Linked DNA regions of Tamandua tetradactyla. The protein of the gene in region 1 interacts with the protein of each later gene in a biochemical or structural test. Links are inferred from orthologs where the notes say so. Each region holds a gene or a part of one and is shown on either strand. Other genes may lie near its edges.

Region 1 (7,991 bases):
TTTTATCGTTGCTACTCCTTTCCCGGGCGCCAGGCACTGCTGGGTACCGCCTGGCTCTCCCTCCACCCTCGCCGCCCGTCAGACAAGGAAGGGGACTCAGAGGCTGACACCTGCACAGCGCGGAACCCAGCCCGTCCGCCGGGCCCTTCCCGCCCCCACAGCCTCCCAGCCCTGCCCGCGTGGTCAGGCGAGGACAGGAGCCCCAAGGCAGTCAGCAGGGATGGTGTGCCGAGAGGGACCCATGCAGGTACAGCTGCGTTCAGGGAACAGGGAGCAGTTCAGAAAAACCAGAAAGCAACTCGGCTGGCCCGCAGGTGCCTGTCACAGAGGAGCTTCAGTGTCCACGTTGGCATGGAGGGGCAGGTCCCAGCACCCTTCTCTGTCCTCCATACAGCACAGCTGGTAGAAGGCCGCAGACTTTCCCGGGCCGTTACTGCTGCTCCCCCATGGCCCCGAGCAGCCCATCGTCCACCCAGCTTCATGAACACAGCACCGCACATCTGACCAGGCCCAGCGCCCAGAAGCCGGTGCCTGACTCTGGCCAAGACCAAACCATCCACAGCAGCCACCCAGTAGGCTAGGGGCATCGTTTCTATTTATCACAACTCATTGCTGTTGCCCGGGTTCCTTCCTTCCCTGGAGCCATGCACACTGCAAACTCCCAGAGCGTCAACTTAATAAGCTGCTCCAAGGCTGTGCGAGGCACTCTGTCCATTCCCCCATCGAACCCCACACTCTAGGAGCTAAATTCGATTACACCCACCTCAAGGAATTAAAGGCTTAGAGTAAAAGGTGGAGTCTGCTCTGGAATTCAGGTTTCCAATTCCAAATTCCTCCCATGGCTAAATATTTAGCCATGAAACCTACCAGGCAAAGGGGTGATGGGGATCTGGGAAGCCCCTTGCGAAAGGAAAGGGGCTGCTGAGATCTGGAGGAAACAGGCCTAGCTCCAGCTTTTGTTACTCATCAAATTCCTGTGCAGTGAGTGGGAAAATCATTGAACCAGGATGTGGCCAGAGAAGCCAGTTACCATGTGATCAGATTCTCGACTGTAAATGACCCAAACCAGCTTGAGTTCCTCAGCCTGTTTTTCTGAGCAGCAGCTTACCGAAGTATACTGCGTTCCACTGTTCAAGCTCTTTCCCTGGCACGCTAACTTCCATTTACCCAGCATCTAATCATTTCCTCTGTGCTGGCCACTGTTCTGAGGGTTGGGGATAAAGGAGATAAGAGCCAGGACAAGATCCCTGCTCTCCAGAAGCTTAACATCAGGCAAAGGGGGCAAGTCAGGAAGATGGAAATGCCGAGGAACAATGAGAGGCAGTGGTGGGGTGGAGGGGCCAGGCTGATTTACAAAGTCCCCCGAGGAGATAACGCCAACTCATACTCAAAGGACAAGGAGCCAGCCATGCCATGAGAAAGGAGACCACTTCAAGAGTTGGTGGCCCAAGGAGGGGTCCCTGAAACCAGGGACCTCAGTGCCCTAAAGGATAAAGTGGGAACGCAGAGGGCTGAGGTTCTAGAATGCTTCTCAGCCTACCTACTTGTTAGCATTGGGGCTAACAGTCCTAGTTCTGCTAAGAAGATAAATAACAGACCAGCTAATAGAATGACAATTCTAGTTCCCAAGCTCCAGCCTGGACTTGATTCTTGGTAAGCAGGAAAGGACATTAGCGACTCGACTCCTATTTCCAGGTGGTGGAGAGATCACGAGACTCAGACGAGGTGCCCTGACTGCAAGGCTCTGTCTTCACAACATTCCACAAAGCCTTTGGGTATCACACCTGTAATTTAGGCATTTTATGTTTGTGCTTTTGGTCCCCCCAACACATTCATGTATATAATTTTATTTTCAGTGCAATCCTGGGGCAGATTCAGGGTCTTCCTTTGATAGAAGAGGACACTGAGGCTCAGAGTGGTGGAGCTGCCTAACGACCTGATCACTTCCAGGTGATCCAGAGCCCAGCTATTTGTAATCCAATCAGCCCTGTGGGTTTTTTGCCCCCTTAAGAGGGCAAGTGGCCTAGCAAGTGGTCTGTGAATTTAAGACATCATTAGTAATTACTTCATATTTTATTTTGAAAAGGGCATAAGAAAGAGCCACAGATAAGAATAATTTAGTCATAACAAAAACTCAAAGTCCCTGAGTTATTTGCTTCAGGAGAAGAACATATGACTCTAGGTAACTAAATAGCCGTGGCCCAGGCCAGCCGGTGCGTGGGGGCGAGGCCACGCATGCGTGGGTGCCGCGGCGTGGGGACAGGGCTGCGCGCGCGTGGGTGCCGCAGCGGGTGGTGCCGCGTGGGGACGAGGCCGCGCGTGGGTGCCGTTCTGGGTGCCACGGCGTGGGGATGGGGCTGCGCGCGCGTGGGTGCCACTGTGGGTGCCGCGGCGTGGGGACGGGGCTGCACGTGCATAGGTGCCGCGGTGGGTGGCGCCGCGTGGGGATGGGGCCGTGTGCGTGGGAGCCGCTGTGTGGGGACGAGGCCGCGCGTGGGTATTGCGGTGCAGAAACTGCGAAGGAGGAAGGCGTTCCCGGACCGCCCCGCCGGAGCCTTAAACTCTGAGCGGAAAGTTCTATCCGAGCCCTCTAAGGAGGGCTGCTCTGGTTAGGAAACGAGCTGCGAGTGGGTCCCACGCTGCCCACGCATCCGAATTATTTGGGGCCTTTAGAAAAAGAACTGGCGTTGATTTCCACACGCATCCAAGACGCAAAGAGTGGAAATCCCCGAAGGACAGAGCCGACCTGGCCCCCGGCTCCCCTGCGCGTGGTGAGGCGCGTCCTTCCCCAGCCCCCGCGGCCAGCACCCAAGCGGGTAGCAGCCGGGACCTGCCCGCCCGGCGCCGCGGCTCCTACCTGGTCCTGGACACGAGGCTGCGCCGCACCTGCGCCCGGAGCAAAGGGCAGCCCGAAGGCGAAGTATTTAACCCGCCGCAGGAGTCCACGTGGCCGCCGGCCCGCAGCTGCTGGTCCGCTCGGCCCGGCCGGGAGGCCTGGGAAGCCCTCGGCTCCCGCCCACCTGCCCCTGCCCCGCCCAGGGCCCGGTGGGGAGGTGGACGGAGGAGGGGCGGGGCTTCGGGGGCGGAGGCGGGCCCACAGCAGGTCCGGCCTAGGGGAGGGGGCCAGACCCAGGGAGCGCGCGCCCCCGCCCTCCCCTCACCTGGCCGTATTTCCGGGACCTCCTTCCTTCTAGTGTCCGCACTTTCCTCGCTCCCCCGGTCCCTCTCACCTGAGGGGGAAGCTTCTGCTGTCCCGCCTTCTGGCAGGTGTCTCCCCGTTGCCCCTCCAGCCCTCAGGCCCGCCCAGCTGCGGGGGGCGTGGGGAGCAGCTGCGGGGCCGGGGGTCGGGGCAGCGCCGGCCCGGGAGGGCAGGGATCACGGTTAGGAGCGACCCTCCGACCCCCGAGTCGCCGTCCAATCGGGGCTGTGCCTCGGGCTCCAGGGCCGCAGGGCCGCGGGACCGCGGGGGTGGGGGCCCTGGGTCGGAGCGCTGGGTGCAGACGCCGCTCCCCGGCGGCGGTGCAGGGCCCCTGGCTTTCCACGAGTGTCCTTTGCCCTCGTCACCCGTGGGCATTGTTAGGGACTCTCGTGACGCTGGGGGCTTCTCTACCCCGGGCCCAGTTCCTGTCGCCGTGGCCGCAGGCCGCAGTGCCCCTTGGCCGCGTCTAAGGCAGGTGCGTCCCGGGCCTTCCTCTGTCCACCGCGGGCGGTCAGCCGTTAGGCCGCTAGACCCCTCTCCACGCAGGGCCAGCGGGAGGATGAAGGCGATGTTTCAGACCTGAGTGCAGGGCTGGCTACAGAAAATGTCCACAATTACCAACATCCGTCAAACTGTGCGCCTGCGATAGGTGAGCGATATAATAATGCCTTAATAAAAAAAAGAAGAAGAAGATCCGCCCTGCTGCCCTGCGGGCACCCCCGATGCATCAGGCCCGCGGGGTCCCCCGGAACCGCTGAGGGGCAGCAGCCCGCAACCCCCGCACTGCCCGCCCAGGAGCCGACCCAGCCTGGATGAGCTGTCTTGGGCCTGGCACACCCACCTCCAGGCCCTGCACACCCACCTCCGGGCCATGAGCACCCACCTCCGGGCCGTGCACACCCACCTCCGGGGCCATGCACACCCACCTCCCGGGCCGTGCACACCCACCTCTGGGCCATGAGCACCCACCTCCGGGCCCGGCACACCCACCTCTGGGGCCCGGCACACCCACCTCCGGGCCATGAGCACCCACCTCCGGGCCGTGCACACCCACCTCCGGGCCATGAACACCCACCTCCGGGGCCATGCACACCCACCTCCCGGGCCGTGCACACCCACCTCCGGGCCATGAACACCCACCTCCAGGCCCTGCACACCCACCTCCCGGGCCGTGCACACCCACCTCTGGGCCATGAGCACCCACCTCCGGGCCCGGCACACCCACCTCTGGGGCCCGGCACACCCACCTCCGGGCCATGAGCACCCACCTCCCGGGCCGTGCACACCCACCTCCGGGCCATGCACACCCACTTCTGGGCCGTGCACACCCACCTCCGGGCCATGAGCACCCACCTCCAGGCCCGGCACACCCACCTCTGGGGCATGCACAGGTGCCCAGGATCCTGCCCAGCAGCCCGGCGCTGGACATGTGCCTGGTCAAGAGCTACTGCCTGCGAATAGCACAGTAAATCCAGCTGTAAGGAAAGATTTGAAACCTGTATGGAAATTCCACTGCCTGCGAACAGCACAGTAAATCCAACTCTAAGGAAGATTTGAAACCTGTATGGAAATTCTACTGCCGTCCAGTGGAAGGGCGCCCTGGAGGCCCAGACAGACCATTTTCTCAATTCTCTCTTGTTAAACAGCACCCTGTGAAAATGCTGAAAAGAAGCACAACTGTAGTAAGTTCTTATGGTCTGGGTGGGATTTAAAAAGACATGCAGGGATTGTGGCAGGACCTTCCAGTGTGCACGCGCTGTCCTTACGTCAGCGGAACTGCCCTGCGGTCACACATCTACCCAACTGGCCACAAGACCCACCCAGGAAGGAAAGGAAAATGGAGAACTCCAGGAACAACCAGAAGTTGTCAAAAAAGACCATTGAATCACTGTCAATAAACCATCCTCCACACCAGACACACAAGAACCAAAACTTCAGAAGTAAAGCTAGGAGCTTCCTTTGAAGACTCCTTGCTCCAAGACATCCTCAGAAGCTGCTGTTACCAAACCCAAAGTGTGTCTCTATGCCTAGGACAGTCGACCCCTCAGCCCAGCCGCAGCAGTGGGTGGGGGTCAGCAGGGCTCTGCCACGGGCACCATTCACTGGCCTCCTTGTCCATAGCCACCCCGACCCTCAGCCTAGATTCAGACGCTTGCTCTCTCAGGGAGAGCCTGCTTCTCAAACCTTGTGAGTCCCACGGCTGCTGAGCCAATTCGTGCAGATGTTCACGTGAGCGTGGGTGAAAGTCCACCTGCCACTTTACAGCAACTAGGGAGCATGTGTAGGGGACAGCACTTCTTCCATCAGTGTGCAGACAGACCTGCCTTAGGCCTCACCTGGCTTCGCACCTCTGCCCAGCGGGCTTCCCCAGACGCCTCTCCCCTGTCTGTTCACAAATGGATTTGACATTCAGTTCTCCAGTTTCACTTTCCATTAGTGTTCAGACTCAAACGTTGTCACCAAGTGCTAAAGAAACGTCATTGACAGCCCCTCAGACTGGTGATACTTTAGAGGCTTGTTTCCAGGCAGGTGGTATCTCCAAGAGACTCAAATCAGTGGCGTGCAAAGTTCCACAGATGGCCTGGGCCACACGGACCAAGCGGAAGTGTGTGGAGACGTTTTTGAGGGCGTCCATTCTTCATGCAAGGTTTCTACAGACAATATTAAAAGCAGCACTTTGGTAGCCGAGACTATAACTCATGGTTTGTTACCTCAGAATGACCCTAAGTCTTTAAATCAAGATATTGAGAAATCTGCACCAATTCTGAACTTCGGTAAGCAGGACAGTGCGCTTCCCTCACGAAGCATGGCAGAGTATCAGACCCGAACTGTGGGCTTCTTAAGCGATTTGGAAAACTCTTGTCGAGTAACCTGCCGGGCCAGACATTGGACCATCGCAGACTTTTGTCCGACACAAACACCGGACCCGACACCCAGGCCCAACCCAGAATCCCGGATGGATTTTGATGTTGAAGAGTTCTTTTCAGCCTCAAACATCCAAACTCAAGTGGGAGAGCCTGAACTCAGCAGTGTGAACACTGAACCAGTGTTGTAATCCCTGGACACAGAGCCCCAGACTGACTTTTTACTCGCAGACCCCTCTGCTCAGCCCTGCAGCTGCAGGGGGAATGCTAACTCTTAGGTCTTGAAAAGTTTGATACGCAGACAGACAGACTTAAGCTTCTTTTAGGAGTAGCTCTCAGCTGCCTCTGGGCAGTATTCTGAAACACTCCAGCTTTCCCATGAGCACTGATTCATCTGACACAGAAACCCAAACAGAAGGGATTCCCACTAAAAACCTCCCTGCTCTGGAAAGCAAAGTTCAGTTGAACAGGCAGATACCCAGACGATGAATTGTGTTTTGAAACCCTGGGGAGCTTGTTTTTCACCAGCAATGAAACTCAGCCGTGGATGATTTCCTTCTGGCTGATTTGTCCGGAACACGATGGAGTGTCGGTTCAGTTCTGTGGAAACCCAGGCCTGTGCAGAACCACACACGGCCTCCACCTTCTAAAAGGGACTCCACGTGCAGGCTGGCATTGAGTTTTCTCCTGGATTTAGAAAATGGGGGTTGGGGACAACAGCATTAACTACCAAAAGTAGTTGCCTCGAGTCTTTGTGGTTCTTTGCCTTTTGTACTTGTAAACATGAAATCTGGGTATAAATGTGAGTGTTAGGAAGTGCATGATACTGATCTAAAAATGAATTTTGTGTTGCCTACCATTGCCCTGTCAAAGCTAGTCTTTCCTTCTAAAACGCAAATGTATTTCACACCTTGAAAAACAATATTAGCCATTTAGCTAAAGCCAAGCTTAGCAAGTTCAAACTAACTTTTCGAAAAAAAAGTACCCTTTTCAAATCTTTAAATATTTTATGTTGGAGTGTAACATACTTAAATTAAGTTGCACCTACAATATATTTTTACAGAGCTTGTTAGAAATTCCTATTTCTTGATAGTAACTTGTAAAGTGGATTTAAACCACTTTAAACTTACCTGGTTCGAGACTCGTGCCACCTACAGCTTCGTCTCCTTGGCCATTTCATTCTTCTGACTTGAAGACACAAAGGAAAACTGTAGTCATCCCTAACTTTTGAAATCGTTTTCACGTAGTCAGCTTCTCTACATGAGCTGTTATCGATGCCAATGTTAAGTGTGCAGTCTTTTATTCACAAGAGGCTCACAGCTGTAAAATTTTGTGTAAAGGAATAATTGCGAGGGCTCGTGTGTAAACAGTGTTCCAGCCAGTTGAAATCGCGGCGAGCCATCCGCAGCACGGAAACATTGGGGCGCCCTACTCACTCTCTGCTGTCAAGTAGTGGCGGTTTAGAGTGCTCCCCAGAGCTGCTCCCCAGAGTGCAGCCACAAGCCGAATCTGAGCTCCATTACGCTGTATGTGTCGAAAAGGGGGGGAGGGGAGAGAAAGACACCTTCCCCTGAATTTCGATGTGTTACACTTCTACTAAGCTTACTAGGGCAAGAATGAAGTAACCCACCCTCCTTCAGCCACCACTCGTCTCTTTTCCTGGAAGGATTTCTGGAGGACATCTGTCGAGCCAGGGAATGACTTGTGCCTTGAGGGTAGCAATTACAGAACAGAACCACCTAAAACATGGTAGCTCGCATTTTTATTTTTCTTAAGAAAGTTATCCCAAGCAGTCTACTTCAAAGAGAATAAAGAAGGCAAAGACCTGTTGTTTCAGTCAACAAGAACATTTTTTTGTTTTGAGATGGGAACATGGTCACGTATGCTTTCAGGGTTTTCTGTACTTAGGAGATCATGCTTGTTGGCCA
Region 2 (7,718 bases), on another chromosome or scaffold:
CTCTTTGTTTAAGGACAGGCACTTTTAGTCCAGATGGTGCCTTTGTATAAGTTAGAAAAACACTTTACCCCCATCTTTTGGGAATATGTCGTAATATAATGATGTTATTAAATTAAAACTTTATTTCTAATGCCTGTAAAATTGATGCAACCGAAAATACAACTTAATGGCATGGGTGATAAAATGTCTCCTCTTTGATGTGGTGCTATCTTGCCCTGCACAATCAGCATACCTGCACTTGGCAGCTCTGAGTCACGCACCGTGATGTGGCACAGCCCCTGCTAGGTCATAGCCCCTGCAAGGTGCTCTGCTTTCCAGGAGCTAATGAGTCCATTAGCGAATATAGACATGCTGGTGGGCAACTCTATTTTAATGTGATAAAAACAATCACGTAGGTATGATCAGAACGGGGTTGAGTAAGAACAGAAGAGCAAGCAGTAATTATTATATTGTCTTGAAAGAAGAGGAGGAGTTTTCAGCTCCTGGGTGTGGGTGGAAAGCTGAGGGGTGGTAACAATTTAAGGTAGAGAGGAGAAAGCAATTGCGATTCGAAGAGTAAGGAGAACATAACAAGTTCAACATGGTTGGGTTGATTTACTGAGATGGAAGTCTGGAGAGACCAATTTGAAATAGATTGTAAAGGGTCTTATGTACTAAATTAATGTTTGATTTTATCTTATAGATAATAGAGCCAGTATTTAGATTTATTTTTAGGGAGCCAATGTTGCTTGAATGGTGTAGGATGTCAGACTGATGACTTGCAGGCTGGTAAGTAGGCTATCATAATGGTTGAGAAAAATAAAGCTGCATTTTTGAGCTAAAGTTGTATCAATTCCAGCAGAAGAGGCATTTCTGATAGAACCGCTGAGGTTTAGTGACTATTTGGAATTTTATGGCAGCTGTGAGTCAGGAACACAAGGAAATGACTTTTAATAGGAAAATGAATGGAGATGAAGTTGACTTTGCCTTTTGTTTGTCAAATTCAGAAGTTGGGACTTCAGTCTTAGTCTGATAACTTACATAGGAAGTTGAACCCATAGGAATCACCATGTTAAACAAAAATTTACCAAACACTACTGATGTGGCTGGTAGGATAACCTGACACTAAGTAGAGAATAAATTACTCAGATCTCTGCTTAAAATGTCTCCCTCTCAGAAAATATTCCCTGATTTCACAATACACAGTAGCCAGCCCTGTCACTGTCTATTCCCTCCTGTCTCCTTACTCACTTTTACTTTTCTTCATAACACTCATCATTACCTCATGTAATATCTATTTACTTGTTAATTTTCTTTCTCCCCCACCAGAAAGTAAACTGTAGCCAAGCAGAGCCTGCTTTTTACTCTCTTACATTCCCAGATCCTGGAACAACGCCTGTCACAGGGTAGTCAAGAAGAAATATTTGTTGAATGTTGAGTGAGTATTTGCCATGCAGTGACTTGGTTTTTATTCCACAGAACTTAAGCAGTGAAGAAGTTTGCAAGTTTAAATCACACTCTGATCTTGATTCAGCAAATGGTAATTTACCACCTGCCTGAAGTCATGTGATATGTTGCGTGCCTGACATCCACCCCTTCCTCATTCGGCCTCCCTCCCCACAAATGCACATTGCCCTGTGCTCCTTGTTCTTGGTGAACAGCACACTAAGTTCCTCAGCTCACACCCTTGGAATTAATTTTTCTAGTTAATTACTAGAAGTAATTTGTACTTCTAGAGAATTCATGCCCTTTTTTAGTTTCCAAGTTGTTTTATTAAAAAATATTTTTCACATGATTTCTCTTGGATTGATGCTTTTCCATTGACAACACCATTATCCTGAGGTTTTTCTGATCTCTCTATTTACTATTTCTCTGTGGTTGTCCATCCTGTTTATCAGTGAAAAACGTCTTCTGAATGTTGTTTTCATCTTATCTTCAGTGACTCCTCGTTGTTTAGAAGAACGACTTGAATTTCTCGGCTTAAAACTCTAGACTGTTCATCAGCTGGCTTCCTACTCCTTATCAAGCTATCTTGATATTTCTCCAACATCATTTCATGCAATCACTTTACTCCGAAACTTTTTTTATTCCTAAACTTTTATAAATGTACTTACTTTTTTCTCTATGTAAAGAATCAAGGTTAGTGTATGAATTCATTCAATTTTTTAGCTTATAGCCATAGCTCTTAATATAGAAGTTATGCCTTCAGATGCCACCTTAACTGCTAAATGGTTAACTAAAGTACCAGTTTTTGAAGAAAACATTTTTCATTTATTCTATATGACTTCAAAACCTTTTTTAGCAAATTTCATCTTAGTTGTAAAGCAAATACATTTGATGTCTCAAGTGGGATTTGTCAGGAATTTGAATTTGGGCTACAAAGGGGGAAAAGAAGGTTATTCTGAGGAGTACAGAAGTCAGACATGTAAAGATAATTATGATAACATATAATAAGTGCAATGATATAGTATCAAAGCATCCTTTAACACACACAACATATTTGATATCATCCTTGAAAAAATAAAGAGAACGAAATGAATTGAAGCAACATTCTTAATTTTGAACATTATACATTAAATGCAGTATGATAAAAAAGCAGAATGATAAAAACAAAAAAATTCTAGCAAAAGTCCACTTAATAAGTTTGCAAAACCATCCAATGTCAACGGGACACTCACCTAGAAAGTGTAGAAATAAGCAAATATATACCAGTTTGTTTCTTCCCAGACAGACATCCACGAGCCATCCTGCAAACACAGGGCTAAGTATTGACGTTCCCGTAAAACACAAGTTCAAAATGGCTGCTTGGTAATTGTGATAGCCAAGCTTGACAGTGCAAAAGGGGATCAAATTGCAGACAACTTCAAAAAAAGTGAACCTCTCACACAGCTCCACCAAAAGCAAACAGAGTCCAACCTGAATGTTTTTCACAGAGAGCGATGAAAAAAAATTACCAACATGTCTTGCTGTTTTCTCCTTCTGAAAGCTGTGATTTAAGAGCCCTTTCTCATCAGTTACTTTAAAGTCTGTAACAGACATGACTAACCTCCTCGAATACAACTTGTCTTCGTGGTTTGTATTTGGTGATTTTGTATACCCTGACCCTCTGAAAAAACAAGTAGAATCTTTGCTTTGAATTTCACATATCCATGCTAAAATTTCATGTTTTTTTTTTCTTGCACTTAAGTGGTGTTCATTTTGATGATCCAGAACATAGGAAAGAAGGCATGAGTTTCAAACATTATGGCGGTCCAATATAGTCAAATGGATTTGTTTGTTTGATTACTAAGAAGCTAAATTAGACTCTTCCTCTGAAGTTATATTGGATTAACAAGAATTCAGTTGAACACATGTGGAAACTCATCTGCCTCACACTGATAAAGGTTGAAACTCTGAGGCAGAAGCAGCAGTTTTTCAGGAGAATTTGAGCACTAGATCAAGAAATAATTTGAGTCTAATAACTTCTGATACTTTAATTAAGCAAGCCAGAACAGTACCAAGAGATAAAAGCATGAAAGAAAATCTGTTTTGAAGGGGTAGGATGCCTTATCATTATTATATTTCATGTTATTTTTGCTTGGAATTCTGATAAGAAAGTTAATTAGGTAACGAAAGTGCTAGTACATTGAGGTAACAAGCAGAGTTTACAAGAAAGTAATTTAAGTGCACTAATGAAAAGAGAAACTATTAAAAACCCTCTTCCTTTACGTTGACCCCATACTTGTAGAACAGCTTCTCAGAGGGAATCAGAATCAAAAGAAGCTATTTGAATATCTTATTATTAGCCAGCAGTTAGAAATACAGTAACGAGCCTACACATGCTTTGGGCATTATTGGATCTGGTATCACCTCGACCTTCCAGCTAAGTGAATGGATGTTGGCACTCTGTTTTAGAAAGCAGGAGGCCACCAATTAAGATTTTTAAAAAAAAGCGGCAAAAGAAAATACTTTAAACATTTAGATGTTTAACAGCAAGGGCATACAAAGACAAGGATATGATGCTATTGGGTCAAAGCCACAATAATTCAATACACAAGGAGTGAGCAAGGAATGCTGTTTTCATGTAAGAGTTAAAAGCAAAAGACTGTCAGGGCTTTTGAGTCTGATTCTTATCTTTTGGTCTGAGAGATTGGAAACAAAACACCTTGTTCTGACCCCTTCTAATAGTCTCCTTGTAATGGCAGCTGTTTTAATCTCCTTGGCCTCACCTCCCCCTTCTTTGGACACGACACACTATTTTTCCTTTACATAAGGTAAGCATGGCATTTATTATTCAATCTTGGACATTTTATGAGTGAAAGTGATGCTATTTATAGTTAGTCCTGGACAACAGGTATAAACTGGGTCTGTCCAAGGCAAACCCTATCATGTGGGTAATTCTACCTTTGGAGAGCCATTCTCCCTTGTTACTTGAGTCCATGGTGGGGCAATTACTCAGGGAATCCCTTTTCTTTTGGCAAAGGGCAGTAGCACATAGCTTAACATAGTCCATGTACTTTTTCTCCCAAGGAAATTTCATCAGGAGTGGAATAATTCAATAGTGGACATGGTAGAAACTATCATTTAGATGGCAGTGTCTGCGCTGTATGACACTGTTATGTACCCCCAGAAAAGCCACACTCTTTTAATCCAATCTTGTGGGTACAGACCTATTGTGGGTGGGACCTTTTGATTAGGTTGTTTCCATGGAGATGTGATCCCACCCATTCAAATTGGGTCTTGCTGGAGTCCTATAAGGCAGTGACATTTTCGAGAGAACCCAGAGTGGAGAGGAGCTCAAAGAGAAAGAAAACAACCCGGGAGAAGCCAGCAGGACCCACAGAGGCTGAGAGAGCCATTCTGAAACCAACCCAGGAGAGAAGGGCCAGCAGACATCGCCATGTGCCTTCCCATGAGACAGAGGAACCCAAATGCCATGGGTCTTTCTTCAGTGAAGGTATCCTTTTGTTGATGCCTAAATTTGGACATTTTTATGACCTTAGGATTGTGACTTGTAACTTAATCAACCCCTTTGTAAAAGCCAATCCATTTCTGGTACTTCGCACTCTTGCAGCATTAGCAAACCTAAACAGTGCCCAGAAGGGATTATCTGAGGCCTTGCTGGAGAACTCAGTGTGGCCCTGCTTCTTATCTTCCCGGAGGTATGACTGTTCAGTTTTCTTTTTGTAAACTAATCTATTTAAAGTTAAGTTAGCCACACTTGCTTTCTTTGTAACAGAGCTTACATTTCTGTCTGCCCTGGATGCAAGGGAAAAGGGCTCCCCAGCCACTGACTGATCTATTTAGCTAGTCCCAATGTCACTTCCCAGGCAGGGAGGCCCTGACCCTTCCCAGGGCCTCCTGACCCATCCTACTTAAATTCTTTGGTTCCACTGTATTCTTGCCCAAGAACAGGCCACCTGTGGGGGGACGTGTAATTTGGGTTGGCTGGGTCAGCGAGAGCAGCAGTGTTGCCTTCTTTGAGGGGCTGTTTGATAACTCACCAAGACAGCTACCTACTCAGAAGTCAAGTTTTTTTCAGTTATCTGTGACTGACAAGAGTATTGTAATAAAGGCAAAATAGCAGACAGTATACTTACCGAGTTGGAAGGTAGGAGTCCTGTGTTTCATTCCTGTCACTTTGTCACTTAAGGCAAATTACTTTACATCTATGAACCCATTACATCAGCTGTGAAGTACAAACAGTAAAGCTTACTTCAGAAGCTCATTTCTGAGGCTTGTTTTAGAAAATGTTGAAATGTCAAGGACCATACATTAAAAAGCCTTTGTTACTACTTGTTCCTATATTCCTGCATTTCCTAGTTACCCTAACCAATGAGCCATAAAGAAATGTGGAACTATTTTCAAATTTCCAACTTGCATTAGGGACATAAGTTAAGGGGACCAGATCACTCTCAGTAGAGTTGAAGCAAAGGAAAAAAAATCTTATTTGTTACTTCCTTGCTAGTTTTCAATACCAAGCTCAAAGTGAGCTTAAAGGACAAGTACCGACTCTACTTGAGAAAAACACTTGGGAAATATTGAATGTCATCATCTGTGTCAACAAATGTTGAACTTTTGAATAGGAATTTATACATACTTTAGTTTTATATAACATTCTCCCTCCCCACCCCAGACTTGTTCCGTATTTCTTTCTGTCTTTCTATAATGGAATGATATTTTTTCTCTATTATGAAAGCAATGCATAGACATTATATATAAATGGGGAAAAACACATATAAAAGGAAGAACAAACAATGAAAGTTTGGGGAGCATTTCTTTTGGTTTTCTTTCCCTATGACTATTTGTTATTAGTAGATTTTAAATATTTGAATTGTGTACAATTATTTGTAATACGGTTGCTACTCTATTTGTAGGAAACGTTATAAACATTTTAACATGCCAAATTAACCCTTTGTAAATATATTTTTTATGGTTGCATTATAGATACATAATGTGCTTAGCTTTTTTCCATTTTTTGGTTAGTTACATTTGTCTCAGATTCCTAATGTCAGTCTTCCTCTAGCTTTGACCATGAATCTGAATTAAAAAAAAAAAACTTCATAAATAATGCTAGAATGAGTATCTTTGGGCATAAAGCTTCCCCCACTCTCAGGTTATATATATCCTTTGGCTGAGTTTTCAGAGCAATGCTACAGGGTAAAAGTGTGGGAATGGTTTAATACTTCTCCATACATAATATAAAATTTCAATAAAAACCTCAGGCATTTTAACCGAAAAGCCCATGTTGTTTGGAATGCAAAGATTATACTCAACATTAGACTTCTTCATTGGAAAAACAAAGGTCATATGTCCAAGATGTGGGGTAATAATGTTGATCACACTTACATATGGTAAAATGTGTATTATTAATAGAGAAAATTAGCCAGAGGCCCATTTGATGAACTAATGAACCACCCTCAGTTTTTACTGAGCATCCAGGCCATTTATGCATCCTGTAAGGGTTATATTGAGAATATACCAGAAGTGCAAGCCCTGCTTTTTATTTATTTTTCATGAGAGAAGTTGTAGGTTTACAGAACAATCACTCAGGAAATACAGGATTCCTATACACCACCCCACCACCAACACTGCATTGGTGTGGAAAATTTGTTACAGTTGATAACACATTTTTTAAATGTCAGCATTTTTTTTGACAGTACTTCCATTTGTTACTCTTGGTGAAAGATTATTAAAGTAATACTATAATTATTGTTCAGAGTTAAGTAGGAGTATTTTTTCCCATATTCCTGATGTTATTATTTTCATGCATATCTTTATTTTATTACCTATGTACCCATATACTGGATAGAGGGAATGTCAGTCACACAGTCTTTACAATCACATGGTCACATGATAAAAGCAATATAGTTATACAATCATATCAAAGATCAAGGCTACTGGATTACAGTTCAACAATTCTAGGTATTTCCATCTGAAAGATCAAATGAGAGGGAGAAAGTATAACTGAGAAATTCAGATTTAACAAATGCTTATGACTACTGATATAGGTTATATATATTTCTTTCTAGTTCCTAGTGTATCAGAATAGTCAGATGGAAATACCTGAAGAGACTGGCATCTCTGGTTTCAGGGCTTATCTGGCATAGGAACAATATGGAGGCCTTATGTTCCTGAAAATATAAGCTTAACTAAGAAAAATTTTTCTAGAGAATTAGAAAGAGTTTAAGTCACTCCTTAGGGTTTTCAGGAATACTGTTGGCTGGGGCTTGGTTAACTGTGGTAGTTTGAAATATCTG

Evidence for each region. The genes of interacting proteins can lie anywhere in the genome.
Region 2: the proteins of PDZK1 (region 1) and SLC15A5 interact in a test that uses a peptide from one of them, tested with the Homo sapiens proteins (2 studies listed by IntAct, with this or other methods). The link is inferred for Tamandua tetradactyla from reciprocal best matches to the Homo sapiens genes PDZK1 and SLC15A5.

The regions. Positions count from the first base shown.
Region 1 is NC_135330.1:1,141,867-1,149,857, forward strand, and holds the start of PDZK1 (Na(+)/H(+) exchange regulatory cofactor NHE-RF3), read right to left. Parts: upstream 3,008-7,991; 5' UTR 2,858-3,007; intron 1-2,857. UniProt on the Homo sapiens protein: A scaffold protein that connects plasma membrane proteins and regulatory components, regulating their surface expression in epithelial cells apical domains.
Region 2 is NC_135333.1:78,899,823-78,907,540, forward strand, and holds the start of SLC15A5 (solute carrier family 15 member 5), read right to left. Parts: upstream 3,019-7,718; coding exon 2,658-3,018; intron 1-2,657. UniProt on the Homo sapiens protein: Proton oligopeptide cotransporter.